Lonchura striata: one gene and its partner. The protein of the gene in region 2 interacts with the protein of the main gene of each other region in a biochemical or structural test. Links are inferred from orthologs where the notes say so. Each region holds a gene or a part of one and is shown on either strand. Other genes may lie near its edges.

The links.
Region 1: the proteins of JADE1 (region 2) and KAT7 form a complex in vitro, tested with the Homo sapiens proteins (2 studies listed by BioGRID). The link is inferred for Lonchura striata from reciprocal best matches to the Homo sapiens genes JADE1 and KAT7.

What each region holds. Positions count from the first base shown.
Region 1 is NC_134627.1:7,849,242-7,865,006, reverse strand, and holds the start of KAT7 (histone acetyltransferase KAT7), read left to right. Parts: upstream 1-9,310; 5' UTR 9,311-9,513; coding exon 9,514-9,528; intron 9,529-10,785; coding exon 10,786-10,933; intron 10,934-12,086; coding exon 12,087-12,263; intron 12,264-13,068; coding exon 13,069-13,308; intron 13,309-13,736; coding exon 13,737-13,819; intron 13,820-14,004; coding exon 14,005-14,094; intron 14,095-14,605; coding exon 14,606-14,704; intron 14,705-14,842; coding exon 14,843-14,953; intron 14,954-15,765. Other genes in the region: SLC35B1 (solute carrier family 35 member B1), read right to left, coding at 4,384-4,436, 4,651-4,804, 5,128-5,234, 5,680-5,806, 6,286-6,443, 6,814-6,844, 7,552-7,682, 7,763-7,866 and 1 more. UniProt on the Homo sapiens protein: Catalytic subunit of histone acetyltransferase HBO1 complexes, which specifically mediate acetylation of histone H3 at 'Lys-14' (H3K14ac), thereby regulating various processes, such as gene transcription, protein ubiquitination, immune regulation, stem cell pluripotent and self-renewal maintenance and embryonic development.
Region 2 is NC_134606.1:67,396,269-67,412,771, forward strand, and holds the start of JADE1 (protein Jade-1), read right to left. Parts: upstream 6,848-16,503; 5' UTR 6,828-6,847; intron 6,287-6,827; exon of another isoform or gene 6,258-6,286; intron 1-6,257.

The DNA of each region.
Region 1 (15,765 bases), on a different chromosome or scaffold from region 2:
AGAGGATGAAAACGCAGTTATTTCATTATTTCCTGGATTTGCCTGCTCTGTTACGAACCCAAACAAACCCGCTGCAGAACAAAGCCCGCCTCAATCACGGGGGAGATTTAATGAGGCTTTAATTTGTGCAGCGCTCACGGAAGCGGTGCGAGGTGCTGCTGCCCTCCGCCCGTGCCAGGGGCACCTGTGGAGCCCATTTCCCATCTGGAGGGCACCGGGAGCGCGGTGCCACAGATTGCCACGGAGCCGCTGCCTTTGTGCTCGGCTTCGCTCATTGAATAACGCGGATCCCGCAGCCTGCCATGTGAAATGGTCATTTTTTGCTTACAGCCAATTAAGGATCCGTTCTCCCCCGCTGCTGCCGGGGTGTTTTCATCCCTCGCAGATCTCCTGCCCCTCTGGAGGTTTTTCTCCTGTCACAGCAGCCCCGGCTCTGTCACCTCAGCGTGCCCCAGGGGATGCTCGGGGGCTGGGGACGGGCAGAGCTGCTGGATCCTGCAACCCCCGAGCCGTGGAAGGCTGAGCATCCTCCCGGGAAGGGGAATGGGGAGCCTGGGGTTTTGTTTTGTATTTTTTTTTTTTTGTTTTTAATTTGTGTTTGAATTTGCAGCCCTCCTCCTCCGGGTGGGATTCACGGTGGAACAGCAAAAGCTGAGCCCTGCAGTGCCAGCTTCCCTTCCCCGTGAATTAACGGGGCAGGAGGGGAGGGGAAAAATCCCCACCTTCAGCAGCTCCTCCGGTGGAGAGTGGTTAAGCAGTTATTTTCCTGTGTAAATAAAATATCGGTGCCTCTTACAGAAATACATCAAATATTGATGTCTTTTATATTCGTGCAGAAAAGAGTGGGGGAATTGGTTCCTTCCAGATCCGAGGCAGAAATCCAGAGGGTTGCAGGATTTTCCTTCCCTGGGAGGGGCTGGGATGGAATTCCCAGAGCAGCTGTGGCTGCCCCTGGATCCTTGGGAATGTCCCAGGCCAGGCTGGGCAGGGGATGGAGCCACCTGGGATGGTGGGAGGGGTCCCTGGGTGGAACTGGATGAGCTTTGAGCTCCTTCCAACCCAAACCCACTCTGGAATTGTGTGATGGAGGCACGCAGATCCAGCACATCCCTAAATTCAGTGCAAGCCCACAGGGCCCAGCCCTTCCATGAGGGAATTCCTGCTGCTGTGCAGGGTCAGGCCCCTCTAAAGCACTCCCAGCTCCCTGCTCTGAACGTTTCCCACCCAAGTTTCCTCCCCTGACTCCCAAACACCTCCAGAAACCTTCCCTCAGTCCCTGCTGCTATGATTAAAAGCCGCTTTTGTTTGGGAGAAAACAAACACCGCTTAAAACAAACCCTGCCCTGGAGGTTTCAATCGCGGGGAATCTGCTGGGTTGCTATTTTTACCTGGATTGGAGAGGCATCAAAGCTGGTTTTGGAGCAGAGGAGGAACTCAGCCCTTAAATTGACAGCGGCGAGCGAGCAGCTCCCCCAGCCCTGAGCGGGCTCTGCTGCTCGTTAGCAGCGGCTCCTGATGAGGCTGCTCTTGTTTTCCAGGCTGCTTTTGATCCCGCACTCATTAAAACCTCATCCTGCTGCGGAATTGTTTCCCTCTCCCCAAAGCTCGGCACCTGCGGGTGGGGGGGCCCAGAGCGTTGTCCCCAAAGCCCCCCAAATCCATCCCGAGGCAGCTTTTCCCCTCGTCCTCGGGGAGCACAGCCCAGCTCCCTCCCAGCCCAAACCGTTCCTGGATTTTGTTTTCCCAGCCACGCTCACAGCAAAACAAATGAACAAATGAGGGGTGAATTGCCTTGGAATATTCAGGGTTTGGGGTATTTGGAGCAGAGTTTTCTGCTGGCCTCTGCTCCTGCCCCGGGGCTGCCTCCAGGTCCCTCCTGGGGGCTCCAAACAGGGATTTGTGAAGGCAAAATCCCAATATTTGATTCGATGTGGGGACAGTTAAACCAAACCTGCAGGGAAGCAAATCATTAAATCATCAAATCATTCAGCAGCCTGGGAACCGAACCTTGCTGTCCCCAAAACATCCTCGAGGTATTTCAAAAGAACACCAAGATCCCAAGGGAATGACAACAATTCCTTATCCACCTTTACTCTCCCTTCACTCATCACTGACAGGATTATCTCCATCCCTACAAAATACCCAAATTTCAGTCCCCTCCACCTCCCTCTCCAAACGTTTGGGTTTTTTTTTCCTGAGCCATCTGCTGCTGGAGCTGCAGGAGGAGCAGTGGGGATGAAAGGAGAGGGAGCGGAGCTGCCAAATTCCCGCGGTGGGTGCTGGGCTCAGCTCCTCAATCCCATCTCCCCTTCCCGGCCCGGTTCCGATCGCGGCGGGAGCCTCCCCTGGCGGAGCTTCCCGGGAGAATTCCAGCGGGAATTTTCTCCCAGCAGAATTCCAGCGGGAATTTTCTCCCAGGAGAATTCCAGTGGGAACGCTCTCCTGGGAGAATTTCAGCGGGAATTTTCTCCCGGGGGAATTCCAGCGGTAATTTTCTCCCAGCAGAATGCCAGTGGGAATTTTCTCCCGGGAGAATTCCAGAAGGAACGCTTTTCTCCTGGGAGAATTCCAGCGGGAACCTTCTCCCGGGAGAATTCCAGCGGGAACGCTGTCCAGGCGCGGTGCCGAGCCGGGAGGAGCAGGGCAGGATTTCAGCTCCAAGCCCGGCTCCAGGGGCTCTGCTGGTGGCCGGGAAGGATGAAACACAACGAAAATGGGGGAAAATCCTGGAGAAAAGCTGGATCTGCGGCTGGGTTTGGCTGGAGCAGGGACGGCACGGGAGCCGCTCGCTGTCGGCTCTCCCGGTGCTGGTTGGGAATGGTTAAAGCAGAGTTCCCCCTGCCGGTAACTGCGGCTGGAATTGGGATCCGGAGCCAACAAAATCCGGGAGGGAGGAAAGCTGGGATGGGTTCAGAGCCCTCAGCTCACCCGAGCCGTCAGCAGCCGCAAATTCCCCTCCGGCCCGGGGCCAGCGACCCTCGGGAATTCCCTGCGGGAATGTCCTGCCCAGAACATTCCAGAGCCCCAGAATTCCTGTTGGGAAAGAGCTCCTGACCCCAAAGCTGCACAGGCAGAGGGAGCTCCACTCCCAGGGCTGAGAAAACCCCAAAATCTCTGATTTACCTGGATTTGTGTCCCATGAACTGGAGAAGGTCTGGCCCAAGTTGGGGCTGAGCTGGAGCCGGTGAAGCCCAGAGAGCTGTGGAGACCCTGGGCACTGGGATTTGTCCCTTGGGAATTCTGAGCTGCCTCCTGGTGCACTTACACTGGGAATCACGGAATGGTTGGGGCTGGAAAGGACCTTAAATCCCATCCGGTCCCACCCTGGGACACCTCCCAGGATCCCGGGGCTGCATGGGGCTCCCTCGGTCACTTCCTGCCAGGAACCAACCCAACAGGCCTTGGCACCAGGAATTCAAATCCCTTTGCCCTTCCCTGGATGCTCTGGCAGCACTTTGTGCATCCCTGGCCCTTCCTTGGGGACAGCAGGAGTCTCCTGATGTTCCTCCCAATCCAAGCCCTGCCTCGGGTTGGGAAAAAGGAGCAGAGCCCAAAACCCACGGAACAGAATCCTCCCTCCCCCAAAGTGCCTCGGAGGCAGCAGAGGATGGAAATTCCTGGAATCCCACCCCGTTCCTCTGGGGTTATTCCGAGGGACAGCTGGACCCAGGCAGGAACATCCCAAAGACTCCTCAGGAGGGGTGAGGAACCCCAGGGAGCCGCTCTGGGAATTCCTGCTGGGGATCCCAGGGCATGGGAGAGGAGCCGCCCTGCGAGATCTGTGGGTTCCGCCCCAGAGCTGCCCCAAATTTGGGGAATTCTCATTTCCTGGGAGCCAGGACAGGGCTGGGGCAGTCCAGGACTTCCCTGCTGACACATCCCAGTGGGAGAAAATCCAAGGGCCTGCTCCGACCCTCTGGAAAACCCCACAACACGAAGGGGGTGCCTCCAACAAGGCTTTAATCCCGGGATCACCCCAAAGGACTGGGATCATTCCTCTCCCTCCCTGGACAGCACAGCTGGGTCCCCCCCAAATCAGCCAAATCCCCAAAAAAAGTCCTGGAGAAGCGGCCATTGTCTGGTTTTCTTTAATAAAGATAGGAAGGATTTGTGTTTTCCTGTTAAGGCAAGGATCTGCTGCTGCTGCTCAGCTCAGGGGGCAGCTCTGATTACACAAAAAAAGCAAAATTACACCTTAAACTAAAGGATTACATTTTAGAGACCATTTAGAATTAAAAAAAAACCAAACCAAACTCAACCCAAAAATAAATTCCACACGCTTTCCTTCTGATTCCCTGTCCTGAGTCCAGTTCCACACCAGATTCTGAGGTACAAGACAATAAATTAAAAGTTCATTCCAACCGCGGGGTCGCCTGATCCACCTCAATGCGATGTCTTCTTCACCCCCTTCCCAAATTTGGCATCGAGCCCAAGGCCTGGCAGGAGACAAAACATGCGGTTTGTGTTCTTCCAGCCAGTGGGAGATGGGAATTTTGGGAAAAATCAGCTGAATATCCCCAAATTCAGCCATGGAATGAGCTGGGGGGAAGGGACTGAATCGCTCTGCTGGTCCCACACGTCCTCGTCCCATTCCCACGGGTTTGAGGAGCTCCCAGGGCAGGATCCCGTGGGTTTTCCCCCAAAACTCACCCAGGAACACCAGCACGGTGCCCACCCACTGCATGGGGCTGATGGGGTTGGCGAAGAGCACCACGGAGGCCAGGATGGTGAAGAACTTGCGGGTGGTGGTGATGATGGAGCAGGTCAGGGGCCCGAAGTACACCACGGTCATGAAGATGAAACTCTGCCCCAGAAGCAGAACAGAGCCCCCGTCACTGGCACTGCCAGGCCGGGCAGCCAGGGGCAAATCCCAAAGGATCTCCCTTCAAATCCTGCTTCTTCCTGGCTTGGAGTGGGTTTGTGGCATCCTGGGATGGGCTGGAGGGGCCTTGGAGCTCATCCAGGGACGCCTTCCCCAATCCCACGGTGCTCCAACCTGGCCTGGGACACTGCCAGGGATGGGGCAGCCACAGATTCCCTGGGAATTCCCTGGGAATTGCCTCCCAGGGAAGGAAACCCCACCCAAAATCCCATCCCTGACCCCTGACCCCAGCGCAGGGCACCGACCTGGCCCAGGGCGCTGGTGAGGCCGAAGAGGAGGATGTTGGAGATGATGCTGGGATAACGCTCCGTGAAACTCAGGAACTCCCAGAGCTCCCCCGTGAACAGGATCCCTGGAAAACAGCCCGGGAGGAGCAGCCTGGCTGGGGATTCCTGCCCACGGGGGGCAGGTTGGGCTCAGAACCCCCAGAGCAGGGACAGAACCCCACAAACGCCAGCAGGAAACACCAGCAGCAGAAGCAAGCGCCCTGCTGGTTAATTAGTGAAAGGAAGATCATTAACGGGGATCAAATTCCAACAGAACAGTGCTAGCAATTAACCAATTAACCAGGAGCGCTGATCCTGGAATGGTTGGGCTGGAAGGGGCCTCAAAGCTGCTCCAGCACCAGGGCAGCTCCCAGCCCTGCTGGGCTGCTCTGAGCCCCGAGCTGGAGCAGGAGCTGCCGTGGGAGCTCCAGGAGAGCCCGGGCAGGGGCAGGGCCGGGCCATGAGCAGAGAAAAGCCCAAAAAGGCCCGAGGAAGCCGAGCCCGGAGCGCGGCGGGGCCCTGGCTCCTCACCTGCCCCCAGGAAGAGCGTGGACCAGAGGTTGACGTGCAGCATCATGTGGTTGGAGCCCGTCTGGTAGTGAGCACGCATGTGGTCCTGGGACACGCCCGTCAGCCCGTCCAGCGTCAGAGAGAGCAGCTGTGCATGGACAGACGGACGGACAGACAGATGGGGACAGACAGACACAGACGGGGGACAGATGGGGACAGACAAATTGGGCACAGCCAGCCAGCCAGATGGGGGACAGACAGAAAAGGCACAGACAGATGGGGGACAGATGGGGACAGGCAGACAGACGGGACAGACAGAGAGACAGATGGGGACAGACAGACAGAGCACATGGTCAGGCCCGGCTCCCCTCCCCAGGGCAAAAGGCAATTCTCGTTTTACAGCCGTTCCTGAGAGTTTATCACAGGGGTAAACCCCACCTGAGGGTTAATCCCAGGTGTAAATCCCCACCTGAAACCCTGGAATTTATCCCAGGTGTAAATCCCCACCTGAAACCCTGGAATTTATCCCAGGTGAGGGGTAAACCCCACCTGAATCCCAGGATTTCTCCCAGGGTAAGCCCCACCCGAGTCCCCCGAGGCCCAGCCCCGTGGGGTCCCTGCACTCACCAGGAGCAGCTCCCCGTAGCCAAAGACGTGCTCGGTGTCCCCTGTCCCTTTTTTGGGCTTGTAGAGGAACAGGGCCACCCCCGCCACGATGAGCAGCACGCACAGGTACTTGGCTGGGGGGTACCTCTTCCGCAGCAGGGTCACCCCCAGCAGCATCACTGGGAAATGAGAGGTCAAAAACTGCCCCAAAACCCACCCAGAGGAGTTAAACCCCAACAATGCCACCCCCAGCAGCATCACTGCAGAGAGAGAGCCCCTAAAATCCACTCATGGGAATTAAATCCCCATAAAGTCACCCCCAGCAGCATCACTGCGGAGAGAGAGCTCAAAAACTGCCCCAAATCCACCCAGAGGAGTTAAACCCCACAAAGTCAATCCCAAATGCTGCCTGGGCAGACTGAACATCCCACCCCGATCCCAAAGCCCTCTGTGGGATGGAAGCCAAGCCAGCCCCAGGGGGCTCCCACAGGAGGGGCTGTGGGGGGCCCAGAGCTCCACAGACCCCCCAAAAACGGGCAAATCTCTCACCTGGGATGGGTTTGCAGGACTTGCCCAGCACCTGGGAAGGGATATGGGTGTTAACAAGCCATACCCCAAAGGGAGAGAGAGAGCCCCAAAAAGATAGAGAATCCCAAAAAGAGAAAGAGCCCTCCTGTGTCCACCTGGGTGGCTTAGATGTCTCCCTGTGTCCCCGTGCCCACCTGGGTGGGGTGGCTGTCCCCCCTGTGTCCCCATGTCCCTGTGGGTGGGGTGGCTGTCTCCCTGTCCCCGTGCCCACCTGGGTGGGGTACCCGTGTCCCCGCTGTGTCTCCATCCCCCTGTGCCCACCTGGGTGGGGTACCTGTCCCCATGTCCCCCCGTGCCCACCCGGGTAGGGTTCCCGTCCCCCCGTGCCCACCTGGGTGGGGTACCTGTGTCCCCCCTGTGTCCCCATGTCCCTGTGGGTGGGGTTTCTGTCCCCCTGTCCCCGTGCCCACCTGGGTGGGGTCCCCGTCCCCACCTGGGTGGGGTACCTGTGCCCCCCCTGTGTCCCCGTCCCCCCGTGCCCACCTGGGTGGGGTACCTGTCCCCATCCCCCTGTGTCCCCCTGGGTGGGGTAGCTGTGTCCCCCTATGTCCCCCATGCCCCCATGCCCACCTGGGTGGGGTTTCTGTCCCCGTGTTCCCCTGGGTGGGGTACCTGTGTCCCCCCTGTCCCCATGTCCCTGTGGGTGGGGTTTCTGTCCCCCTGTCCCCGTGCCCACCCGGGTGGGGTCCCCGTGCCCACCTGGGTGGGGTAGCTGACGAACTGCAGCGCGGAGTTGCTGGACACCATGGCGCCCAGGTAGGACAGCGAGCAGGCCCCGTAGAGCCAGCCCCGCGTGCGGTCCGGCCGCGCCGCGTCCACCAGGCGGATCACTGCGGGGACAGCGGGGGACGGCTCGGAGCGGCCCGGGGACGGCCCGGAACTCCCGGGGCTCCGGGAATCCCGCACTTACGGAGCTTGGCGAAGGCGGCGTTGATCACGCACTGGATGAACACGAGCGTCAGCGCGAACCTGAACTTCTCCTGCTTCGCGCCCTCCCCGTAGCGGCCCCGGGTGCTGCGGGACGGATAACGGGGACACCGGTGACACCGGGACACGAGAGAGACAGGCACCGGGGACACCGGGCACAGAGCGGAACAGGCACCGGTGACATGGTGGGACCGGCACCGGTGACACCGGGACACGAGAGAGACCGGCACCGGTGGCACCCGGGACACCGGTGACAGAGCGGGACCGGCACCGGGGACACCGGCCACAGAATCGAGGGCACGGGAAGGAGCGGCGCGCCCCGCCCGGCTCCGGCTGCCCGGTTCTGCCCCGGTCCCTCCTCCCCAGAGCCCCCAGCCCCGGGTGAGCCCCGCGCCCCCCGCCGGTGTCCCCGCTCCCCGCGCCGTGGCTCACATGCTCTCCTGCAGGATGCCGTAGTAGAAGTAGCAGGCGAACACGCCGAGGAAGCAGACGGGCAGGCGGAGGCGCTCGGGCAGCCCCGGGGCCGCGCTCGCTCCCATGGCGGCGGCGGCGCCGCTCAGCGCGGGCGGCACCTCCAGCGCCACATCCCGCGGCGCCCCGGGCGGCCTCATCGGCCCCGCCGCGCCCGCCCCGCCCCGCGCCGCCCGCCGCGCTGCCCGGCCCGCCGCGGGGGGAAAGGCGGGCGAGGCGCGCTCGGGATGTCGCGGGGCGGGGCGGGAGCTGCACACGGAGATCGCCGAACCCTCCCCGGGGCTGCGCCCGCCGCGGTTCGGCCGCGATGGTACCGGGAGTGTGCGGGGTAGAACAGGCAGTGCTCGGGGCACCCCAGACTTAGGGGGGCTTCCCGATGCACGGCGCGCGCGGGAGCGACACCCGATGTGGAGCGCGGCGATTGGCTGGGCCGAGGGGGCGGGATAGAGAGACGGATTCTGATTGGTGGCTGCGGCAGTGGGGCTCCGCCTACTCTGTGCGACCCCCGAGCGGGGCTTTCCGGGGTCCTTCCGCCGGTCCGGGCCCGCTGGAGCCCGGCGGGGCGGGGGTGACGGGGCCCGGCCGGGACCGGCTCCTCCCCAAGGCCCCGTTCAGCCGCTGCCGCTGCTCCAAGCCGCGCTTCCGGGACGTTCCCGGGGAGCAGCGAGTCAGGAAAGCACTGTGGCCGGGAAGGGCCGAACCCCCGCCCTGGCGCTTTGTCCTTCACAGTTCCTCTCATCCCTCCGGGAATTCCAACACGGTTCGCAATGCCCGGGCTACACATCCCACCTCCAGGGCACTGCCCCCGCAGGCTGGGCGGAGGAGCTGCCGGTGCTGCAGCTCCCGAGGCTTCCTCCGCCTCAGCTCGGCGCTGCCCGCTCTCAACATGGCGGCCTCAGTAACGGGGGCTCCGCGCCCCGCGGACCCTGTGCCCTTATCAAAGATGGCAGCCGTAACCCCCGCCCAGCCCGCTGCCCCAGTCAAAGATGGTGACGCGCGGCTTCACTGCCGGCGGCGCCTGCCCGGCTCCAAGATGGCACGCGGTCACGTGACGGGGGTGTGGGCCGCGTCCCGGCGGAAGCGTGAGGGACCGAGCAGGGAACGGCGGCGGGAGCGGGGCTGGCGCCGCAGCAGCAGACGTGCCGCAGGGCGGGAGACACGGCTGCCACCACGGAGTCCGCCAACAGCAACACCGCGGCGGCCACCGCCGCTTCGCGGGCCGCGGGCGCTGGGGACCAGGCAACCTCGCTGCCCCCGCCCAGGATGCAGCGCAGGAAGGTGAGCGCGGCCGGGAAACGGGGGAGGCGGCCGGCGGGGAGACCGAGGAGCTCGGGCCGCTGCTTTTGACCCTTCCCCAGCCCCTCCGCTCCCTCTCCCGGCTCTAAAACTGGGGGGAAAGTAGCGGCCTTGAGCCCCCAGCGCCCGCCTCCCGAGCTCTCCGATTGGCTGCGGCGCTATCAGGCCGCGCGCTGATTGGCCGCGCTGCCTGTCACTCATCACCCCCAACGGCTACCGTCCCCCCTCCCCCGCGCGGCCATTGGGGCCCGCCCCTCGCCGTTTCCGATTGGGCACGCGCTCGGAGAGCTGGCCGTCTATTGGACAGGTCCCCGCACCGGGCTGGGCGCTGATTGGCTATTGCTGCTGTCCATCCCCGCCCAACGGTCACCTCCCCGCGCGAGCCTTGTTCCTCCCTTCCCCCATCGCGCCGCGGCCTGCCCCCACGGTTGGCGTTGCCGTGGGAGCAAGCCTCGCGCTGATTGGCCGCCGTTCGCTGTCAATCGCGCGCGGCGGCGGCCCGCCTTTTTGCTCCTCGAGCTGCCATTGGTAGGCCTCCCTTTCGGCCCCGCCCACGCGCGCTGTGATTGGCTGGGGCCGGCGCGGCTCCGCTGGGGGCAAAACAAAGCGGCGCGGGGGCCGCGCTCCCGCCACCGGCGCGAGGCGCCCCCCCCTCCCCTCATGGCGGCCGCGCCCCTCCCCGCTCCCCTCACGGCCGCCGCCATCGCCGCCCCCTCACCCTGCCGGCACCCCCGGCCTCCCCTCACCGCCGAGCCGCTCAACCGCGCCGGGGAATAAGGCACGAGCCTGGAAAAGGGGGAACAAAATTAAAGATTTTAGCTTGGGGCGGTTTAATAATGAGAAATAAGTGAAACACTGTTGTGGTGTTAAATAACCGTGATAACAGAAAGGGAAGGGAATAAAAATTGCGATTGCTGACCGGTGCCAGTCACCCTTCCGATATCCAGATTGCTCCCCTCGCTTTGGGATAATTCTGATAATTCCTCCAGTTTATATCCTGGGAATGACAGCCTGAGGTGGGAATTTGGCCATGAGGGATCACCTGTCCCGCTTTGTTTTTGGAAATTCCTCACTGCCAGAGCAGGAGACACAAAAAGAATCCCTGACTTGGCATAAACCTCCTGGGTCACCCTTGCAGCTGCAGAGGCTGTGAGGAGGTGCAGAACACGAAATCCCCGCTCAGTGTTGTGTTTTTAGCAGTAGCAGGGCAGCGTTTCAGGGCAGTGTGTGCCGTTGCAGAGGAACGCGGGCAGCAGCTCGGATGGCACCGAGGACTCGGATTTCTCCACGGACCCCGAGCACACGGACAGCTCCGAGAGCGACGGCACCTCCCGCAGATCCGCCCGCGTCACCCGCTCCTCGGCACGGCTCAGCCAGAGCTCCCAGGGTGAGGGAGGGCTCCTGCTCAAACCGGGAGAGGCTCTTCCTCGAACTGGGAAAACTCTTCCTCAAACTGGGAAAACTCTTCCTCAAACTGGGGAAAGGCTCTTCCTCAAACTGGGGCAAAGCTCGTCCTTAAACTAGTGCAAGACCTTTGTCAAACTGGGGCAAGCCTTTCCTCAAACCGGGAAAGGCTCTTCCTCAAACCGGGAAAGGCTCTTCCTCAAACTGGGGAAAGGCTTTCCTTAAACCAGGGCAAAGCTCTTCTTTAAACCGGGGGAAGGCTCTTCCTCAAACTGGGGAAAGGCTCTTCCTCAAACCAGGAAAGGCTTTTCCTTAAACTGTGGAAAGCCTTTTCTCAAAGTGGGGCAAGGCTCTTCCTTAAATTGGGGAAAGCTTTTCCTTAAACTGGGGCTAGGTTCCTCCTCAAACGAGGGAAAAGCCTTTCCTTAAACTGGGCTAAGCTCCTCTTCAAACCCAGGAAAGGCTCCTCCTCAAACCAGGGAAAAACCTTTCCTTAAACCAGGGAAAATCTCCTCAAATGGGAGAAAAGTTCCTCCAGCCAGGAAAAGGCTCCTCTTTAAACTAGGGATTCCTCTTTAAACTAGGGAAAAGCCTTTCCACAAACCAGGGCAAGGCTCCTCCTCAGACTGGGGAAAAGCTCCTCCTTAAATTGGGGAAAAGATCCTCAAACTGGGGAAAATTTCCTCCTGTAACTGGAGCAAGGCTCTTCCAGGCCCACACACAAATCCCAGGTGCAGCTCCACACCACAGGCAGTCCTGCTGTTCCCGATATCTAAACCCTGATGGTTCTTATCGAAACAAAGAGATCTTTGCTTCTCCAAATTGAAGCTGGGTGCTAATTGCAGGTCAATTAAGTTGTTAAACCTGGAGCAAGCTGCTGTCACTCCAGTTTCCTCCGAGAGTCCTGACATTTTATCAGGCAAGGCCAGAGCATGGTGACATGGGCAGGACGGAGCCACAGGGTGTCAATCAGTGGGGGACATGGGGGTTCTTATGGGTGCTGTGGTGTGACTGTGGTATCCCCTCAGTGTTGTGGTGTCTGTGTGGTTCTTGTGGTGTCCCCATGGTGTGACTGGTGTCCCCACGGTGTCCCCGCGGTGTCCCCTGGTGTAACGGCCCCGTTTCCCCGGGAGCAGACTCCAGCCCGGTGCGGAACCCGCCGGCGTTCGGGCCGGACGAGCCAGTGTACTCCACGCGGAGGGTGACCCGCAGCCAGCAGCAGCCAGCTCCTGTCACCCCCAAGAAGTACCCGCTGCGACAGACCCGCTCCTCCGGCTCCGAGACCGAGCAGGCCGTGGACTTCTCGGACAGAGGTACCCCCGGGGGCAGGGAATGCTGCATTGGTACCCACAGGGGAAGGGAACACTGCATTGATACCCAGAGGGGCAGGGAACCCTGCATTGGTGCCCAGAGGGGCAGGGAACACTGCATTGGTACCCAGAGGGGCAGGGAACCCTGCATTGGTACCCAGAGGGGCAGGGAACCCTGCATTGATACCCAGAGGGGCAAGGAACGCTGCATTGGTGCCCAGAGGGGCAGGGAACACTGCATTGGTACCCAGAGGGGCAGGGAACCCTGCATTGGTACCCAGAGGGGCAGGGAACCCTGCATTGATACCCAGAGGGGCAAGGAACGCTGCATTGGTGCCCAGAGGGGCAGGGAACGCATGGGTACCCACAAGGACACGGAATGCTGCTCCCGGGGTGGGACAGGCTCTGTGCAGCCCCTGGGGCATTTTCAGGAGCATTTTTGGGAGCCCAGTCCCCTCAGCCGCATCCCCTCAGCCCCATCCCCTCAGCCCAAATCCCCTCAGCCCCATCCCCTCAGCCCCAATCCCCTCAGCCCCAATCCCCTCAGCCCCGTCCCCTCAGCCCCGTCCCCTCATCCCCTCAGCCCCGTCCCCTCATCCCCTCAGCCCCAATCCCCTCAGCCCCAATCCCCTCAGCCCCAATCCCCTCAGCCCCAATCCCCTCAGCCCCGTCCCCTCATGCCCTCAGCCCCAATCCCCTCAGCCCCGTCCCCTCATCCCCTCAGCCCCAATCCCCTCAGCCCCAATCCTCTCAGCCCCAATCCCCTCAGCCCCAATCCCTTCAGCCCCGTCCCCTCTGCCCTCCCCAGACACCAAGAACGCAGCGGATCACGACGAGTCGCCGCCCCGCACCCCCACGGGGAACGCGCCCTCCTCGGAGTCCGACATCGACATCTCCAGCCCCAACGTGTCCCACGACGAGAGCCTGGCCAAGGACATGTCCATGAAGGACTCGGGCAGCGACCTCTCCCACCGGCCCAAGCGCCGCCGCTTCCACGAGAGCTACAACTTCAACATGAAGTGTCCCACCCCTGGCTGCAACTCCCTGGGTAACCCCCTTGGCAGTCCTGCTGCGGGCTGCCTGCTTGGCTGGGTGCAAATCCTAAAAATAGCAGGGGATCAGGTCAGGAATGGCAAGGAGTGGGTTTATAGAAAGGATATGAAGCGTAAATACAGGGAGATGTTTTCTGTTTGGGGGGTGACAGGATGAGGAAGCAGACAGGAGGGCGAGCACAGGTGTGGGAGGAAAAGTCACAGATTTGTGGAACTGGTTTTTGCCAGAAACAGGATTTCAGTGCCAAACTATTGCACTCCCATCCCTGGCTGCTTTGGCTTAGTGTGAGAAAAATTTTCCTTCCTTTTTAAACCAGGAAGTTTCCTCCTCCTATCCCCCTGTCGGTGATCCTGTGAGGGAGAATTCCTCCTCCTCTTTGGGATCATTTGTCACAAGTTCTGTTGCTTTTCTGACCCCTTGCAGGACACCTGACTGGGAAGCACGAGCGCCACTTCTCCATCTCGGGCTGCCCTCTCTACCACAACCTGTCAGCAGATGAGTGCAAGGTAAACGTGGATGGTTTTGCCTTCTGATTTCTCCTCCTTTGGGATTTTTAGGGTAAAATGCTGAGCCTTGTGTTCTGTGAGCAGCAAACAGTTTACAGCGTGCTGCTGCGTTTGTGTGTCTCCCCTGGAAGGGCAGGGGTGACAGGAGGCGGCTGCAGCCCTGACAGGTGAATTTTGGCCTCCAGGTGCGAGCGCAGAGCCGGGACAAGCAGATTGAGGAGCGGATGTTGGCCCACAGGCAGGATGACAACAACAGGCACGCCACCAGGCACCAGGTGAGGGGACAGCCTCAGCTCCCAGCTCCCAGCACAGCGCTTTGGGCCTGGGCTCCCTTCTCCACATCCTGAGGAGCTGCCATTCCAGAGGGGGAATTCCCTCAGTGAGGTTGGAGCAGGCAGGGAGAGCACAGCTGTGTTCAGGATGATCCTTCCCCTGTGCCTGGCTGTGCAGGAGCAGGGAATTCCTGCAGAGCTGTAAGCTGCAATTTCCCTCTGAGTAACCAGCAGAGAGCCAAACCAGGGGAATGACATTTCCCAGTCCCTGAGTCAGCTGGGAGCTGTTCCCCAGCACGGAGCATTCCGTGGGGAGCTCACCCTGTCCTGTGGTGGGAAGGAAATTTCCTGCTTTGCATTCCTGTGCTGCAGCTGCAGTGCCCTGTGATTAGCAGAGGATCTGGCTCAGACCTCGTGGAATGGCAGCCAGGATGGAATTCTGTGGGATGGGCAGGGAAGGGGGAAGTTTAGAGGGGCTGCAGCCTCTCAGGGTCCCACCTGGGGGTTCTTCCAGGCCCCCACAGAGAGGCAGCTGCGGTACAAGGAGAAGGTGGCTGAGCTCAGGAAGAAGAGGAACTCGGGGCTCAGCAAGGAGCAGAAGGAGAAATACATGGTAAAAGCAGGAATTCCATCCTTTCATCCCTCCCCGGGATGGAGTTTGTCTCTCCCAGTCATCCTGCAGCATTCCCAGCTAGAAAAGCTGCAGGATCCAACAGCTCAGCAGCCAAAACGCTGTCCTTTGGTGTTCCAGGAGCACAGGCAAACCTATGGCAACACCAGGGAGCCTCTCCTGGAGAACCTGACCAGCGAGTACGACCTGGAGCTGTTCCGCAGGGCTCAGGCCCGCGCCTCCGAGGACCTGGTGAGATCCCTGCCCCAGGCATGGCCCTGGGGGCTCTGTGGGGAGCTGGGCAGCAGCTCCAGGCCAGCACAGCCAGCCCGGGCTGGGGGCGAGTGCTGGAGCTGAGCTCTGCACTCAGGAATGCGTGGTGACATTCCAGGGGTGCTCCCAGGGGACAGGGACAGCTTCAGCGTCCCTGCTGAGGCCTGGTGACAACAAAAGCCACCTCGGCCTTGGCCCGTGACTGAGTTCACAGGCTGGTGTTGCTGAAGCTCCTGAGGAGCCTCCCAAAGCCACATCCCATTCCAGAGAGGGATCAAACGATGCTTTGATGCTTTTCTGGGCCGGTTGGGTTCCTGGGGCAGGGCCTTGGGCTGTGTCACGGAGCCACAGGATGGACTGGGCTGGAAAAGCCCTCTGAGGTCATCGAGTGCCACCCGTGACCTGACACCACCTTGTCACCAGGTGCCACATCCAGGCTCTTCTAAGCACCTCCAGAGATGGCAACATTTCCTTGGGCAGCCCCTTCCAATTCCCAGTGCCTCTTTTTGGGAAGAAACTCTTCCTCATGTGCAGCCTAACATGGTCTGGCACAGCTTGGGGTTGTGTCCTCCTGTCCTGGGGTTCCCTGGGAGCAGAGCCTGGCCCCACGCTGGCTGCACCCTCCTGTTGGGGTTATGGAGAGGCAGGAGATGTCCCCTGAGCCTTCTCTCCAGGATAAACACCCCCAGCTCCCTCAGCTGCTCCTCACTTGTGCCCTGTTCCTGTGGCTCAGGAAAGGAGCAGGGAGTGGCGGGGAGCTGTAGGAATTGAATGAAAGATGAATCCAGAAA
Region 2 (16,503 bases):
ATCTCCCATAAACAAAGTAAAGAAAATTTGGAAGAAAATACAGGAAAATTGTCCTGTCTCAGAAGTGTAATTTGCATGTTTCTGGTTCACTTCTTGGTTTATTTCCCACACAGTCTGAAAAGCACAATACACTGTTAAGCAAAGCAACAGAGTTTAAGTACACTAGGAAACACCTGTGAACTTGCAACAAACAAGAAAACTTGGAGTTCTCCTCCTTCACATCTTTCTGGACAAGTTCATTTTGACTTAATCTCCCCCTAACATACATTCTGCAAATTCAAAAACATAAGGAAAGAGACGAAACCTTCTTGCTTCTACCACCTGTCTTTAAAAAACAAACTGACCATCCCCTTTTTGGTTGCTTTTTGGAGGAAAGAGTAGTAATCACACCTCCCAGTTTAAGCACTCTCCAGAGTTCTTCAGGAAATAAGCCAGAGCAGAAGCCACTTTTGTGAGCACAGAGTATTAGATAAGATAGTTCATTTCCTTGTCCACTTTAGTCAGGCATCTGAAGTTGGCCACACTGAAAAGCCTGTGTTCTCAATAGTAACATTAAAAGAAATATCCCATTTGATGAAGCTCCTGGGAGATTGTTTTATAGATCCATACGGAGGAAAAAATAATTAAAACTCAGAGATCTGATTTTCCCATTTTTTAACCTAACCTGAGTTTACAGGGAGCTAAATCAGAGATGAAAAACCAGCATTTGGCTTCTTAGAGCAAGACTCAAACCTCATAAGATTAACCCCCTGGAACTTTTGTCACTAGAAGAACTGCTTTTTTCAGCTTCTAAAATAATTTTAAACAGCTGCCACCAGATGTTCATATCCACAGACCAGAACACATGTTCTAGAGACAACACTGGAATAGCTAGTGAGACTTAGAACCATGCACATTGAAATCCTACTGGTTTCTGCCAGGTGGTGGGTGACCCAAAGTCACACAATAAACATGTTAAAAAGTGCACATTAAAAACAAACATGGGTCAGGGATAGCGAGGGTTAGATGCAGACTGATACTGCAAATTTTTGCCCTGTTCCAGCAGGCATACACTGTGATCACAGTGTATGTAAGCAAAGTGGCTGTAAGCAAAGAGAATTCCTATGTAAGCACAAAAACAGTAAAACATTCCAGACCAGCTTTAATACCAGGAGTAAAAGCTATGCACCCCAGCCTGCAACACTTGCAGGGCAAGAAGAGACACCCAGATGACTGAGCTCAATTCCTAAGTACCTGCAATCACATAATTGCTGTCCAGCCCAGAAGTTCCCACAAAAATCCACTGCACCCACCCATGCCACAGAACGAGCTCCCAAACCCCTTTGCAGAACGAACAGCGCTCTGAAGCAAGGACACAGCCAGCCAAGCAGTGCTTGTGGCTGAGCCCTGGATCTCCTAACAAACATTTCTACACCTGTTTTTCCCAAATTCTTACACCAGCCCCCAAGGGGTGTTTGCCCAACACACTCTCCACCTGAAGAGAAAGCCCAGCACTTCCAAAGCTGCTGCAGAGTCTAACAACCCTAAGCTGACAAAGGCTGCATCACCAAGCCACACTTTCTATCAGTTTCCAGTGACTCCTGTAAATTCTTAGTAACTCAGCAACTTTTATATATAAACTTTCAGTTTCATTTCTTCGAAAGACAATGGTTTATTTTGTTAAAATCATCCATTCAGAAATCAGTCAGACCAACACAGAGCATGCTGATCATGTTTTCTCCCAACACTCCAGTATAACCTTTAGCAACTCATCGGGGAGGAACCAAACTGGGCTCAGGCTAATGCCAGCCTTCAGCCAAACACAGCTTCCAAGAAACAGCCACGATTCTGCTGGCAATGTTACTCCAATTCCATGGGAAGCAAAGCATCCAAGAGCACTTCATTGAACCACCATGATAAATGGCACCAATGGGACACAGACGATGCCTTTTTAGTCCTCAGTCACCCTCAGATGAGCTGGCCATACCAGGGCAGCACTGTGAGGCCAAACACAGCTTACAACACACCCTACTGTGCTTTTCCAGAGGCTGAAGGTGCTGCTCTGTTTTCCAGAAACACATCACCAGTCGCTTTTCCATCCTTTTTAATCATGCTTGCTTAAGCTCCGGGTTTTGCTCAATGATTAGATACAAACTTTAAACATAACAATGCAACTCTGGACTTCGATGGTGCATTTGCTCAAATTGTTTTTGAAGGCAAAACTACACCACCTGAAACTGACTCCTGTGTTTTGGAGAGCGTGGGAAGCCTTTTTCAAAACACTTGTAAATGCTGTGCAAATGAAATGACAAGACAATAATCCAATATAATCAATGTCAGGCCACACAACAGCATTTGAATTTATATATCCTTGTGGAGCTGAGCAACAAACATCTTAATCCACACAAACAACTAGATGCAGGCAGGCATACAGACTTTGTTGTCCACTTCCAAGTATTGGATGACAGATGCAGTGCAATGGGTTAGACTCAGCAACTTGACACAGCACAGCAAAATCATTATTTTTAGCAGTGTTCGTTTTACCATGCTAGTCCATCCTTACCTCTCCAAGAGATAAATTACCAACAAAACCCAAAGACCCCACTGGACATGGATGTCAAGACCTTTCCTTTTTTCTCCCACGCTGAAGTCCCAGGAGCTGCACTGATAAGAGTGTAAAAAATACAAAGGGCAGAAATCCAGACACTACCCCAAGAAACTGGGACAACAGCGTGCACACACACACCCCCATGTGCCACATACACAGTTAAGAACCCCACATGGTTCTTCACTAAGTTTGACCTCAACTAGAGAGGCAATCGAAGGGAAAGATGTAAAGTGTGTCAGTCCTTGTTACGCATATAGCTAAACAGAACCAGATTGTAAAAAAAAATATACATGGGAAAATCTACATCCTCAGGTCAAAGGTTTTCCACAGCACAATTCTTACTGAAGTATTTTCAAGGGCTGCATAAACCCCTGGGTAAAAGAGTGTATAATTCAAACTCTGACAGACAATTAACTGTAACCATGTTAACGGGTGTCACTGTAACAAACTGCACTGAACAGCTGCAGAGACAGAATGGGAAGAAAGCAGAGTTATGACAGATGTACACCCTGAAGACAAACTGAAAAACTGGCTTTTCCTGAAAGTAACCCACTAACTGCAATGAAACGAAGACCTAATTATCTCTAGTACACAAGAAATTGCTTCAGAACACCTACTGTACAAATGGAAGCGAAGTGTGACACAGTATAATAAAATAGAAGATGGAGACATTTGGGTTCTATTATTGGGTTCTTTTTAAATAGCTTATTTATAACACCACCCCTTCTTCACTGACACCTGACATCACAAGAAGCTCTTTTGCTTCTACCCTAGACCTAAAACAAACAAACAAACAAAAAAGGAAGCACATCAGAAATAAGCTATTACTAAAATTTACTTAAAATTCTATTACGGAGCACCATCCACAGTGCAAAGAGTCACAGACCTTAAATCTGGAGGAAAAAAATCCTCCAAGTGTCATGAAACAAGGCCAACAGTGTTCTCCACAGGGAATATTTCTACCAAATTCAGCACACCTATCCAAAATTTATCAATATAAGAGAAAAGCACAATTTGGCCATATCAACCCAACACTTCTCAGGAATCCACGTGCTTATTTATGCACCTGTGCAAGCCAGCCCATAATATTAACTTACTACCTGAACAGTGGCAGCAAATTATTCCCAAACTGTGGGAGTGAGTGAAACGGACCATCCAAAATCTCGAGCAATGCATGAACTGCGTTCCAAGAATTATTGCAACTCAACCTGCACCCACTGCAGTTCCTCTCTTCCACCTAGGAAATGGTACCAGTTTGGCCATCTCCAGTTGAAAATGGGAGCATGAAGCAGCAGTACTAAACACATGGAGAAATCATTTGAGGAAACACTGGAAGTTTGAGGGTTTTTTTACTAGGTTCTGTGAATTGGGAATGAAACCAGAGAAGCTGGAAGGGAAATCTGCAGCTGTGAGAGGAAAGGGGAGTTTATTATTATTATTTTATTTTAAACATATGTATTAAACATAGCTCAAAAGCTGGGAGCAAGTGCTATCTGAAGCCAGAGGGAAAATCCTGCCACTAAAACATACAATTCTTGCTGTTTCAACAATATCCCACTGAGTGTGAGAAACATCTAGAAATAGAATCATAACAAGCATATTTTGGCATAACTTTAATGAAGGTTTTAGGTTTACAAGTGTGGGCAGCTTCTGACTTAGTTAAAAGACAGCACCTGCTTAAAAAGGAAATTATTCAAAATAACAGCTAAAACCTTTCTCTAAAAAATGGGGCTGGCATAAAAACATCAACTAAGATGTGCTGCTGAATCCTACTGGAATTTCTAATACTTCCACGGCCTGTTTTACTGGGAAGGGGCAGGGAGGTGACAGATCTCAGGATGCCCCGACTCTCACCTGCCGGTGAACCTAATCAACTTTCTCAGAATAAGGCGAGCAGCTGAGGACCAGCCGGAGAGAGCCGGCAGGAGAAGTTGGCCGGCGGCAGGCGCTGCTCGCAGGTGCGCTGAGCCCACGGCTGCGGGATGGGGCCACTCCCCGCAGGAGGAGAGGAGCCGAGCCTTCGGGAGTCGCTTCCAACGCGGCACTCACGCCGACAGCCGGCTCCAGCCCGGCCGGGCACCGCTCAGGGCGGCTCTCCTCCTCCTCCTCCCGCAGCGATCCCATCTCGGCCCCGGCCCGGCACCGCGCCCGCCCAGGGTTCGCGGCAGCGGCGCCGACCCCGGAGCCGCCAGGGCACGGCCGGCTGCGGTCACGGAGCAGCCTCCTGGCCGGGCTACACCTCCCCCGCGGGGGTGGCACCTCCCCGGCCAGCTGCACGGCCGCCTTCCAGGAGAAGCGGCCCGGCTGGCCCCCTCCTTCTCCTCCCTCCCGGCTCCCGCTCCTCCCCGCCGCCGGTCGCACCAATCCGCTCGGCCACGGCTGCAAATCAAACTTGGTGCCCCCGGCTCCGCCGCCTCTCGCTCAAAGCGCTGTCACTGCCGAAAACGGCCACGGCACCTTCCCCGCCCGCCCCCGTGGCCACGCTGCCACCGAGGGGGTGGACGGGACGGCGGATCGAGCGGCAGCTCGGAGACGAGCTCATTTTCTCTGTCCGTCTCTCCTCCCACTCCCAGACAGTTCTGGAAACTGTGTTATCACCTCTTGTCACAGGAAACCAACCAGCAGGCGGTGCAAACAAACAAACACCCTTTGCCTCCACCCTTCCCAAATTCATCCTATCGGGAACGAACGGGCGGGCGCGAACGGGAAGGGAAAAGCAAATTAAAAAAATTTCTACAAATAAAACCAAAACAACCAAACATCCTCCAGGCTGCCCCCCTCCCAAAAAAAAAAAAAACAAAAAAACACAAACACCACCAAAATTCTCCTGGGAGCTGGCGACTACGCGTGCCCAGGGCTGGGCAGGGTGGCTTTGTCTAAGAGGAACAAGTGGAATGATGGCTGGAGCCGCACTCACCTCCCCAGGGAGAGCGGCCCGTTACACAGCAGTGCCGCAGCCCCGCTCCGTCCCGCTCGCCAGGCACGGGGGCAAGAGCCAAATCGCGGAGCTGCCCAGACCGCCGCCCGAGCAAGTTGGGGCGTTCGCCGCCGCCCCCCGCGATGTTCCGTTCGCGCCCCAACACCGCCGGCCGCCTTTCCGCTCCCTCGCCCACAAACTCCGGCCCGAGCACACGGATTCGCCCCTCGGCCTGCGCCGGGCAGCAGCAGCGGGAGGGGGCCGGACCCCCCACGTCCTGCCCAAGTTCGCTGCGCGCCCCCCGGCCCGTTGCCGCTCCACCTCCCACGGCCGGGGCGGGGGCCGGCGCGGCGGGGTCGCCGTGCACCTGCCGGCCGCTGCCCCGATGCCGCCCCGCGCCCCGGTGGGGCCGCACGCATTTCCCCGCCTTTTCCCACTCTCAAACACGTGCACTTCGGGGCTCGGGCAAGTTGTTCTCCAGCAGGAGACACCGCGCACCCGTCTGGGGGGACAGAGCCAGCTCTGACAGCTCGGCGCTCCGCGCCTCCAGTAGAGCGCCCACCGGCGCCCATCAAGCGGGAGGCAGACCGGCTACGGCTCTCCCGCTCCGAAAGGCAACTTCTGTTTAATTTCACCGATGAGCAGTTTTTATGCATTCCAAGCATTTACGCCCCCCCCCCCCCCCCCGCCCCAAGCCAAATCGAAGTGCAAGCGGGGTGGTAAAGGGAGGGAAACAAAGCTGCTCCTGCATACCGAACACCTCCTCTCCCACGCACACCGCTCCCCGCCCGCGGCGAGAGGCGACGGGTCTCGTGGGCATCTGGGTAACACGGTGACACACAGTGGCCATGACTCTCCCCCACCCCCTTCCTACACATCAGTATCCGAGCAAGACTTGCGCTCTGCCATTGCCATCTGGCTACCAAGTTGCTCCAACGCTTCCTACTTTCCGCGGCGGGCGATACCAGGCGCTGCCCCCGCGGCGCAGCCTGCAGCGACGCCTGGGGCGCAGGGCCGGGGGCACGGCACGGCACGGCACGGCACGGCACGGCACGGCGCAGACCGGCACGGCACGGCACGGCACACCGGCGGCTCACTTGGCCGCTGCACCTGGGCAGCTGCGCGCTGCCCGCTCGCCCGCAGCGGAACAAAAAGGGAGCCGGCAGCGGCAGGTCGCGCCGGGCGGCAGCGCTGCCTCCCCTCCCGCCTCCGCCCGCCACAGCCCCGCACAAGTTGCTTGTGGGATAGCGGAGCCGCAACTCGGCCGCCTCCCCTCGCCCCGTACCGAGCGGCGCGGCTCTTGGCGCCATGTTAATGACGTACTATCTTATTTCCACTAGGCAGCGACCTTCGGCACGAAACTGCTCTCCCGCCGCCTCCGGAGCGACAAAAAAACCCCATCAAATATGGCTGTGCTGGCGGCTCCGCGGCTGGCGCTGCGGCGGGCACGGTTACCTGCTGGCGGCGGCGCGGCGGCGACGAGGGCGGGCGGCGCGGCCGGGCTCCCCCTGCGCGGAGGGCTCGGGGCCGCCGCATGAGTTCGGCGCGGCGCCGGGCAGCGGGCACGGAGCGCGGCTCGCTGCGCCACACACACACACACTCTCACACACACACACAGATTCCCTCTGACTGACGTTTGTACTTGTTATGGAGGAAGGACTCCGTGAATCAAACTCGTTTCTGGGTCACTGCTGCCACAGGGGGGAGCTGCTTTAATCCCCTGCCAAAACTGGAAGGCGAGGGAAGGGGGGAGAAATAATAATAATAATGCAGCGCCGGGGTGGGGAGGCGGCGGCGCGGCCCCGGGGGAGCCGCCGTTAACTCTTGGCGGGCCCGGCCGCACCGCGCGGGGCTCCCGCCGCCCCTCGCCGCCGGAGCCCCGGGGGAGCGCGGCCGCCCGGCTCCCGCCGCCTCCCGCTCGTGTTCCAGCGGGCTGGGAAACGCAGATGGGAGGCAACGCCGCGCGGCTGGGCAGCTGGGAAATGATACGTGTCTGCACCCGCATCCCGCCCGCGGCACTGCTGGCCTTACCCTGCAACCATTAACTCTTCTCTCCAAAAGATTTAAACCGATTTCGCAAGCAGGAATTCTAGCGATGCACTGGCTCCCCGTGCAGAACGCGTGAGTCACTATTTGTCAAGCAGAGAAACTGAGGGTACCAAGAGTTAAACGCTGTGGCCACATGCGTAGCGCATAATTGCCGGGGCAAGAATAAAACTGCACGCTCCCTATTCTCAGCCCCCAGCGTTATCCCTATGGCTCGTTAACTTTGATACTTCTCAAAGACTAGAAAGAGCCAACACAATCTGCGGTTCAGTTCACATCTCTCTAGCAGGAGAGGAAATTATCTCAAATTGGCACCAAATGACATACTAAACTTCCCATTACCTAAAAAGCGTGTTTGAATGCAGATTTCCTTATTTTTCCACATAAATCGCTTTACCTCACGCCATACACCTGTGCTCCCTGAGTGAAGAACTCCCCCTTTTGAGCAGAATTCCTGAGCAGATATATTCTGAGGTAATAAACACCACAGAGAAGATTCAGCATAAGCTCAGACACAGAATTAAGGCGATCTGTGTAAAGTAATCCCCATAGTATGCAAATACAAATTAATGCAGCCTCCACAGAAACATCAGTCTGCCAAAGAATCACACCTTAGTTCAGCAGAGGAATTGGGTCGTTATTCATCCGTGCAAACCGAGTCATTTCTTCTGCCGTCTCACCCACCCACCCAATAATGAAACAGTACTTACATTGAATCTGCACATCCTAAAAAGTTGTGCTTTACTACAAAAACATCCTCCCCCCTGGAGATATTCTTTCACTGTGAAAATCAGACAGTTGTGATTTTATTCACAGAACACCCTGAAGCACCTTCAGATTTTTGAATCTAAGACTTTGATTCCCTTGTTTTCTACTACATGAAAATACAGAAAGGCATGCATTCCCTACTTTCTTCCTACACTTGCCTTGGCATCCAGATCTGTAAAGATACCTGTTGGCATAGCTTTCTGTACATCAGCAGCTTAATTAGGAACATCCATGACGATCCATGCAACACACCCCGTCACGGTAACTGATAATTATAATAAACTTACTGACACACCCCTGTCACCTTACCCCTGAACTTCCAGGGCTGTTAATTTTCAATACTGACTGGAGACTTAGTTGTTCTGTATTTCCTAAACCTGTTGCTGTGCCATGGTATAAACCCCAGAACAGAACAGGGCAGTTTATTCCCTCAGTGGTCTGCAGGCCCCTCAGGGGTTCAGGGACTGCTTCTCATAAATCCGTAAAAAGCAATCAAGGTTAGCAAAGCTACTGTCAATTGGCAATTACTGTACACAGGCATGCACTTCTACTGGGTTAATATGATGATGTTTCTTCTAAATAATTTTAAATAATATTGTCCATTGTAAAAGACTGAAGAATCACAATAAATGCTATTTGTTCCACTTTCCTGAATTCTTTCCAAGAAGTTCAGAACAAGCTTCTGAGAAGAGCTTAAATGTGAATGGGCTCTAATTTCTCAAGAGGAATGACAGAAACTTTCCTGTCTCAAGCTCCTTGGATTTGAGGCAATATTTTTGTTTCCCTGTAATTAGTTTTCCTTTGCATATGTAGCCAAGTTTATATTACACATTGTATTTTAGGAAACATTTCTCTTGGAAGCCATATGAGGCCATACATTTAAGATAACATGATTGTTTTCACATTTAAGATAACATTAATGTTTTCATGGTACCATGAATTATGGGCTGTGTTTTTAAAAAGTACCAACTATCTCCATTACCATAGAAAAACTCCCCAAATGTGAGTCCTCTGTGCTCCACAAGCAGCTAGCCCAGTCTTTACAAGAAGGTAACACAACTGGAACAAAGATGCTATTTTGTCTCTGAGTACAGTGCATCCACAGAGATTCCTCTGGAATAATACACTTCTATGTTTTAAAAGGAAATATTTAAAAAATCAAAGGGCTAGGAGCTGGAAGAATAATTTTGGAAGTGTCTGGAAAACAAAAAGGGAATGTTACTGCTTCAGCATTACAGGTATGAAGTTGGATACGAGCATAGCTATGGTCAAACAAGAGAGAGTAGTCTTCTGCTACCTGCACTGACTAAACATCAAGGTGATGAGGAAAATTCTGCTTTAAGTAGAGTCAGTAGGAGTTCTAAGATCACCCCTCGTCTCTAATAGGTATTTACCCTCTCAGCAAAACAGGCACTTTCTTATAATAAATAATGTCATAAGGTTCTGTGCCTCTCTCACTTATCTTTCTACCAGCATTATCATTTATTCCAGGAACATTCAGAGAACATGTATCCAGCTTAGAGTTAGGCTTTGTGCTAGCACACAGAACTTCTGATCCCTTCTGTAAGTTGTTTCATCAGATACACTCACTCATATATTAAACTTTATTTTAATTCTTTATTGTTTTATTAGTTTCTTAACATTTCCTTCTTGGATTGTTAATATTTTAGCTGATACACAAATCCAAGGAAAGACTATGTAGCTTTTCAGCACCCTTCTGTGGAAATTTGTTGCTGTAGCAGTGGCTAGTAAAATTAATTTCCTTCCTTCTTCCTTTTTTTATTTTGATAATACTTTAACAATTGAAATATTTTCTGCTAATTGATACAGTCCTCATACATGAAGGTGTAGCTAACAAAGCTGAGTTTCTCCTCACTGTTAAATTTAGTCCAAGAGTATCACTTAAAATTCAAAACTGTTCTTTTGCTCTTTTGGCTCGAGCTTTCAGGAACTTCTATTTTCTATTTTTTATTTTGAAAATTAGAAACTTGAGGAGAAGAACAGTACAGATCCAAATCAGCACTGTCAACACTAGATTGTACTTAAAGAGTGGGATTTTCCAGAGAGTTTTCATATCTCCTGTGACAGGTATTTTATAGAGCAGAGCTGTAAGATGGATGCATAGTTGGGCCAATTCATTTCAAGGTCCATTTTGTCTCTAGCTGGTCTAATCACACAAGCAAGGGGAAAAAAAGATTTTGACTCATGCATATGTAAATCTATACCACTTACAAGTTGCATAAATGCAATATTTTTAAATCCTGCAGAAATAAAACTTACTCAACGCAGTTCCTGTATGAGCCATAGAGGAACACAGTTGTCACAGTTTTGTCCAACCCAAATACATCTTTTATGGCATGGTGGCACCTAACTGCTTCATAAAATTATGCACAGAACCCTCCACTAATTGGTGGTCTGTTTTTTTTGTCCCTCTCATTATCCACAACTACCAAAATTTGGTGTGTCTGGATTAGGCAGGTCATTATTCCCTTTGACTCTGAAGCTGAGGTTTACAGCTGCCAGGATTGCTTGTGAGAGTGATTAGTTTATTCATAAGCCATACACCAAAGATGTGATTTCTCCTGTGCTCACAACCCTCATTCTTCTGGTTTACAGTTTCTTTGGCTTATTGAGATGAAGTCATGAGAGATCTCTAACTCGGTGTATGGGCCAGAGCCCCAGGAAGGAGAAGCTGTGCCAGTGAAGGATTAGGATAGAAAGGGATGAAAATGAATCCTCAGAGGTGAACTCTTTATTTAGTGGGCTTGCACAGACAGACCTGTGTACTCTTTTTAATGACAAAACTTGAGAAGTAGAGATTGTAACACTAATTTTATCTGTGGGTAGACAGGGGCCTGTAAAGGTTATATCACTCACACAAGTCACATGTTAAGTCAGCATTAAAACCAAGAATAGAAACCTGAAGTAATGCCTCTCAGTCCAAGGTTTCTAATGATTAAACCATATCCTCCCCTTTGGCCTGGTTCACAGCACAGAACACAGTACAAAGTATACCTCCATGACATTTTGCACATAGATATCTTAAAATGTTTCTGCAAGTTAGACACAATCATTGCATGAATATGCAACTGCTGACAGTGTGCATTCATCTAAAAAGGAAGCAGGGACAGGTATGCCCAATAGGTAAAATTAACTACATTCCAAAATCTAAAAGTACAGGTACTGAAATCATGTGCTTCCCAACTGTTGTAATTGAAAAGTAGAAGCTGACAGGAAACCAGTAGAACAAGAAGCTCAATGGAACACTGGAAACAGACTTGCAGGTCTGCAAGTTAAGCTGGATGAAGGTGATGCATCACCTTTAAGGGAAATAACACAATTTTGTACATGATGAGAGAAGTAATTAGCAGCCGAGGTAATGCCCTAAGGATTATGAAAACCTCAGGCAAGTGAGAATTTAGCAGCAGCAGATCAAATCTTGGCTGAAGTATCTACACGTGTCTATCTGGCAGCTCATCAGGCAACATTACAACAGCTAATCTAAATGAACTTCAACATTAAATTGTGTTTATGCAGGCAGAAATCACATAGTGAAAGAAAGGTGCTGTGACAAAACTTCTGGAAGAGTTCAAAAGAATCTGATTACAGATTTTCTGATTGCAGAGTGCAACCTGATAACTGGTTGCTAGAAGTGGAGCAGTGGTACCAATTTATCACAGAAGTGCAAAAAAAAATCAATTTTTTTTTCAGTAAAAACTTAGGGCCAAAATTACTTTGAAGAAAATTTGCAACTCTGGATCTTTAGGAATCGGATAAATATTAAATCAAAAAATAAAGATCGGGTGTTCCATTTGCTATGAGCAGTTTGAGATAAGATGTCTACAAAGAGCAGAAATCCTGCAAGTAACTTCCCATGTGGTCCTTTTGGGTTCCCTTTAGTACTTGATGGAATCACCACAGAGCTGCTTCTATTTCTTCTTCCAAATGCAATGACTCACAGTTCATTGAATTTAAAGCTCTTTGCAGGCCATGAAACTGAGGTCTGCCACAAGGGCAGAGAAATCCTACACCCTCCATGGCAAAAAACAAACTTAGGACAATTAGCCATGAGATAGGATGTATTCTGTTTGTCCTCAGTAGGTATAAATAAGCTCCCCTCCTAAGTCTCCATGCTTGAAATCCCTCTTAGGGGATGTGGCAACCATGATTTCAACAGATGGCAAATTTTCTCCTTAAATGGTCAAGAGGTCCACTTATTTCAGATGCAGTTGTCCTGAAACCTACTTCAACTATTAAGTAACTCAGCTCAGTAATAGACAAAATAAAAGGGTGTAAAGAAGCGACCACTGCTAGATAAAGGAAATCTAGTCAAATAGACAAGTGTTGTTTATTTCAGCTATTTTACTTTACCAATTATATGTTTTAGAAATTAAGTTTCTCAGTGTTTAGCAAGCAGAAAAAAAATTGAGAAACTTAAACTAAATATCTTTTTCTTGTGGCAATACTGATTGTTGAGCTTTTCTACTGTGTAAATAAGCACAAAAACCAGTTTGGGATGTTTTACTCAACATCAGTGTTATAAAAGCTACCTCATGGATTTAGATTTCACTACTGTTTATGTCCAGAGGTTCAACAATATCCAACAAGACTTGGAACAAAAGGTTTGGAATATTCAGCACAAAAGAATGTTCACAGAATATAGGAAAGCTGAGCTGTTATCTAACCCTCCTCCATCTCTCACACCCCCTCAAAGAGGTGGGGAGGTATTGGGATAAAGAGGGCAGTTTATGCCATATATCCATGGGCAGAAATAACCCTGCAGAACCCATAACCTTTCAGAAACTGGCCCGAGCTGACCGTGTCATTAACACATACCCAAACCAATACAGTTCTCACTGTTACACTTCCACTTTGCTAAGAGCTTTTCAGAAATACACACACAACATAAGAAAAGCCACAGGACTCTTATCAGGGAGAGAATTATTATCTCTTTTCTAAATAGGATACTGAGCCATAATTGTAACGAGATACAAATAAAAACTGCCTCTGGCAAAGCAAAGAGACTTGAAATCATGATTCAGCCCTGACATGTTATAGCAGACTAATCCTTCAGTGCTGTTTGAAACACACACAGCACGAGGGGGAAGATACCCTTAACACTGCATTTGCACAGGGAATGTGTCTAATCCCAAATTTCTGCTCCAGACTCCACCTGACCAGTGAGGAGTACAGGAGGTGGCATAGTTTCTGCATGAGGATGTCCAGAGGGAGAACCCCAAATGGTTGCATGGTAAATTTTCAGGGCTCAGGATGTAAACAGGCCTTGAGTGATTTCATACCTTTTATACTAATCGTTTTGAGGTTACTTATTTTTTTTAATGGACAAAGGAGTTTATTGCTTATTTAGAAATTACAGCATCTTTGCTCAAAGGCAAGACTGTCACGGTTATTTTTAACTAAGTACACCGGGAAGAAAAGTTGGAAATCAGATCATCACTCCGGTTTCTGTGAACTTTGCTTTACTAAGCTAAAAAAAACCAATAAAAATAAGCAAAAAATAGTCTCAGACCTTCCAGAACAACATTAAAAAAAAAAAAAAAAAGTCTGATCTGCTTATGTGGGCAGATTTTGGCACAGGGTAAACACCCATGTTTGCTCCTCAAATTGCACAAGCCAGAAAAGATTGTGTCTTTCATTGAGGACATGCTTTTAAACCATCACACATGTATGTCACTGACAATCTGAGGAAGGTTATTTTCTTCCTGTGGAAATGTAAGAGCTAGGACAAAGTAAATGTGCCAACTGCCTTTAATCTGGTTCCCTAAAGTGACATCTATAGTGGGCACACAAATCCTTAAGTAGCTGCCAAAACCCCAGTCCCAGCCTACTCAGCTCCTCAAGTATTCATCCAGCCACAGCAGCATCCCTGCTAAAGATGAGCTCACAGTGCCTCAGATCTCTTCTGGGGAAGGGCTACTTAAGGTAGAGTCTCAGGTCACAGCAGACAGAGTTTACAGAAGATACGTTCTGGAAAGCCTGAAAGAGTGCCAGCCCCAGTGCCATGCCAGAGTACAAAGTGTGCTGGCACTCTGGTGTGGTGCTTTGGATCGATAATGTGTAATAAAGCATATATTGACTGACAGGCTGGACAGGCCCATAGAGACAGCAAAGGGGTTTTTACTCTCCTAGCATGTTGACAGTGGAGCCTAGAGACTCAATTTGTCTTTTCTTTACATGTTCATCTTCTGCAAGAGCTGCTCCTGTGGGTTCTTTGGGGTCTCTTTTTAAGGAAATTAAGCATCCTACACGCCTTCCTTAATAAAATGTTGTGAGTACAGTGCAATCAGTAGTGCCTCACACAAGGTTTAGAGATCCTTGATCACTTGTTGGCAGGAGTTTGACCTCAGTGAAGGACATCAGGGATAGCAAAAAAGTCCCCCACCTTGGACAAAGAAAAAAGAGCCCAAGATCACTGGTTGTGTGAGCCCTGGCAGTTCAGGTGAAGGGAATGGACAAGTATAGAAAATGCTGGCCCCAGTGGGAGAGCCTCAGTGACCAATTAAGCTGGTTGTCCTTCTAAATTAACATCATCTGGTTAAATGTCTTATATCCCCTTAAAGTTGCCAAAGATCGTCTAACATCCTGAATGCTCTATTTTTTTCCATGGGAAAAAAAAAAAAAAATCAGTCCAAGAAATCAAGCTACAATATACACACAAAATACTTTGCTGCTCTATACACACATGCTTTATTTTTTTATGAGTATCTCAAAGCCTGTAGGTCTCCAAGCCCAGCTAAGGAAAGAAGACACTGATATTTATTTTACTTTAAAACTTATTTCCATATACTTAGAGTTTGTAAGCAACCATTGAAACCAAAAGCATGAGTTGAAAGTCTCTTTTCTTTGTGAATGGGTGTTTATGCCACTAACATTTGTGGTGTTAGGCTTTTCCCCAGGCCTATGTTTTATAATTACAGAGAATTCTATATAGCCACTGCCATTCAAACACTATGATACTTCTTAATAAACTGATGTGTCACACACAACACATCATGCCCTGACTGAAAACCATCATCTCAACCTTAAAATCCAGTGAAGAATTAATTGACAAAGGGTTTAAAAGCTGTATCTCATTTCCAACATAAGCACCAAATGAAATCCTACCTAACAAGGTGTTTGCTGATCCTAACTCTTTTCACACTTCACAGCAGAAAAATAGACACTTTCAACCCTGTGAAAAATAACACTTTTGTTCACATACTATATACATAGGACACCAGTTAAAATATCTTAACTTTTTTGTACTCTATTAATAATTCCACTATGTTCATCTTGCAGTTCTCTATTGAGAAAGAATTTTGTTTCATATACTGGAAAATCTCCTGTATATTTAGGCCAGCGCTTGCAAATATAAACAAATAATCCATTTTGTTATATATTTGGTAGGTGGAAAAAGTTAAAACAAGGGACAGAGACACTTGAGACTAAGCTCTGAAAGGTTTATCCCATCAGTCCCATCTAATTGACATCCTGACTGGACTCAATGATTTTAAAGGTTTTTTCCAACCCTCCTGATTCTATGATTAAGTTCCTAAAGTTTCTTATGCTGCTTGACAGTGCCAAAAAACCACAAGAATTTCCTCAAGAGAAAAAAACACTTTTGCAAACAAGTGAAGTTGCAATTTTTTTTTTCTTTGCACTAAGGTTACGTCACTTATCTCTTGGGTACAGATGACATTCATAACCATGTGCCTGGACCTCAGCTAAATTATCTCTTTCCCCTAAACAGTCAGAGGGGATAAAAACAATAAAAGTTCTGTACAGGAAATTAGGAAGGCTTAGTCTTGAGCTTAATTTTGAAAATTCTTTCAGTTGAGCCTCCAATATTTTTTTCTATGGCTTTTTATGTATGGAAGATTTTTATCATTTGTGCAGGCAGGCTCGGCAGTTGCAAGTGTAGCTGCCCAGCTGCAAATTGTGGGCACAGCACCTGCTGCACTAAAGCTCTCTGCAGACAAGTAGACACATTCCAGCTATTCAATCCAAGCATTTAAAATTATCTCCACCCTTCAGGAGACCTCTTTTTGCCTTTGTGGAAAATACTTATTTTAGTGGACAGGGTCCTGCCCACCTGGATTCAGCCAAATTCACAGCAAGTAGTACCAAAAGCATTCTAAGATTTCTACAGTAAAATGTAATGACTTCATTTTAATAGGTAAACATG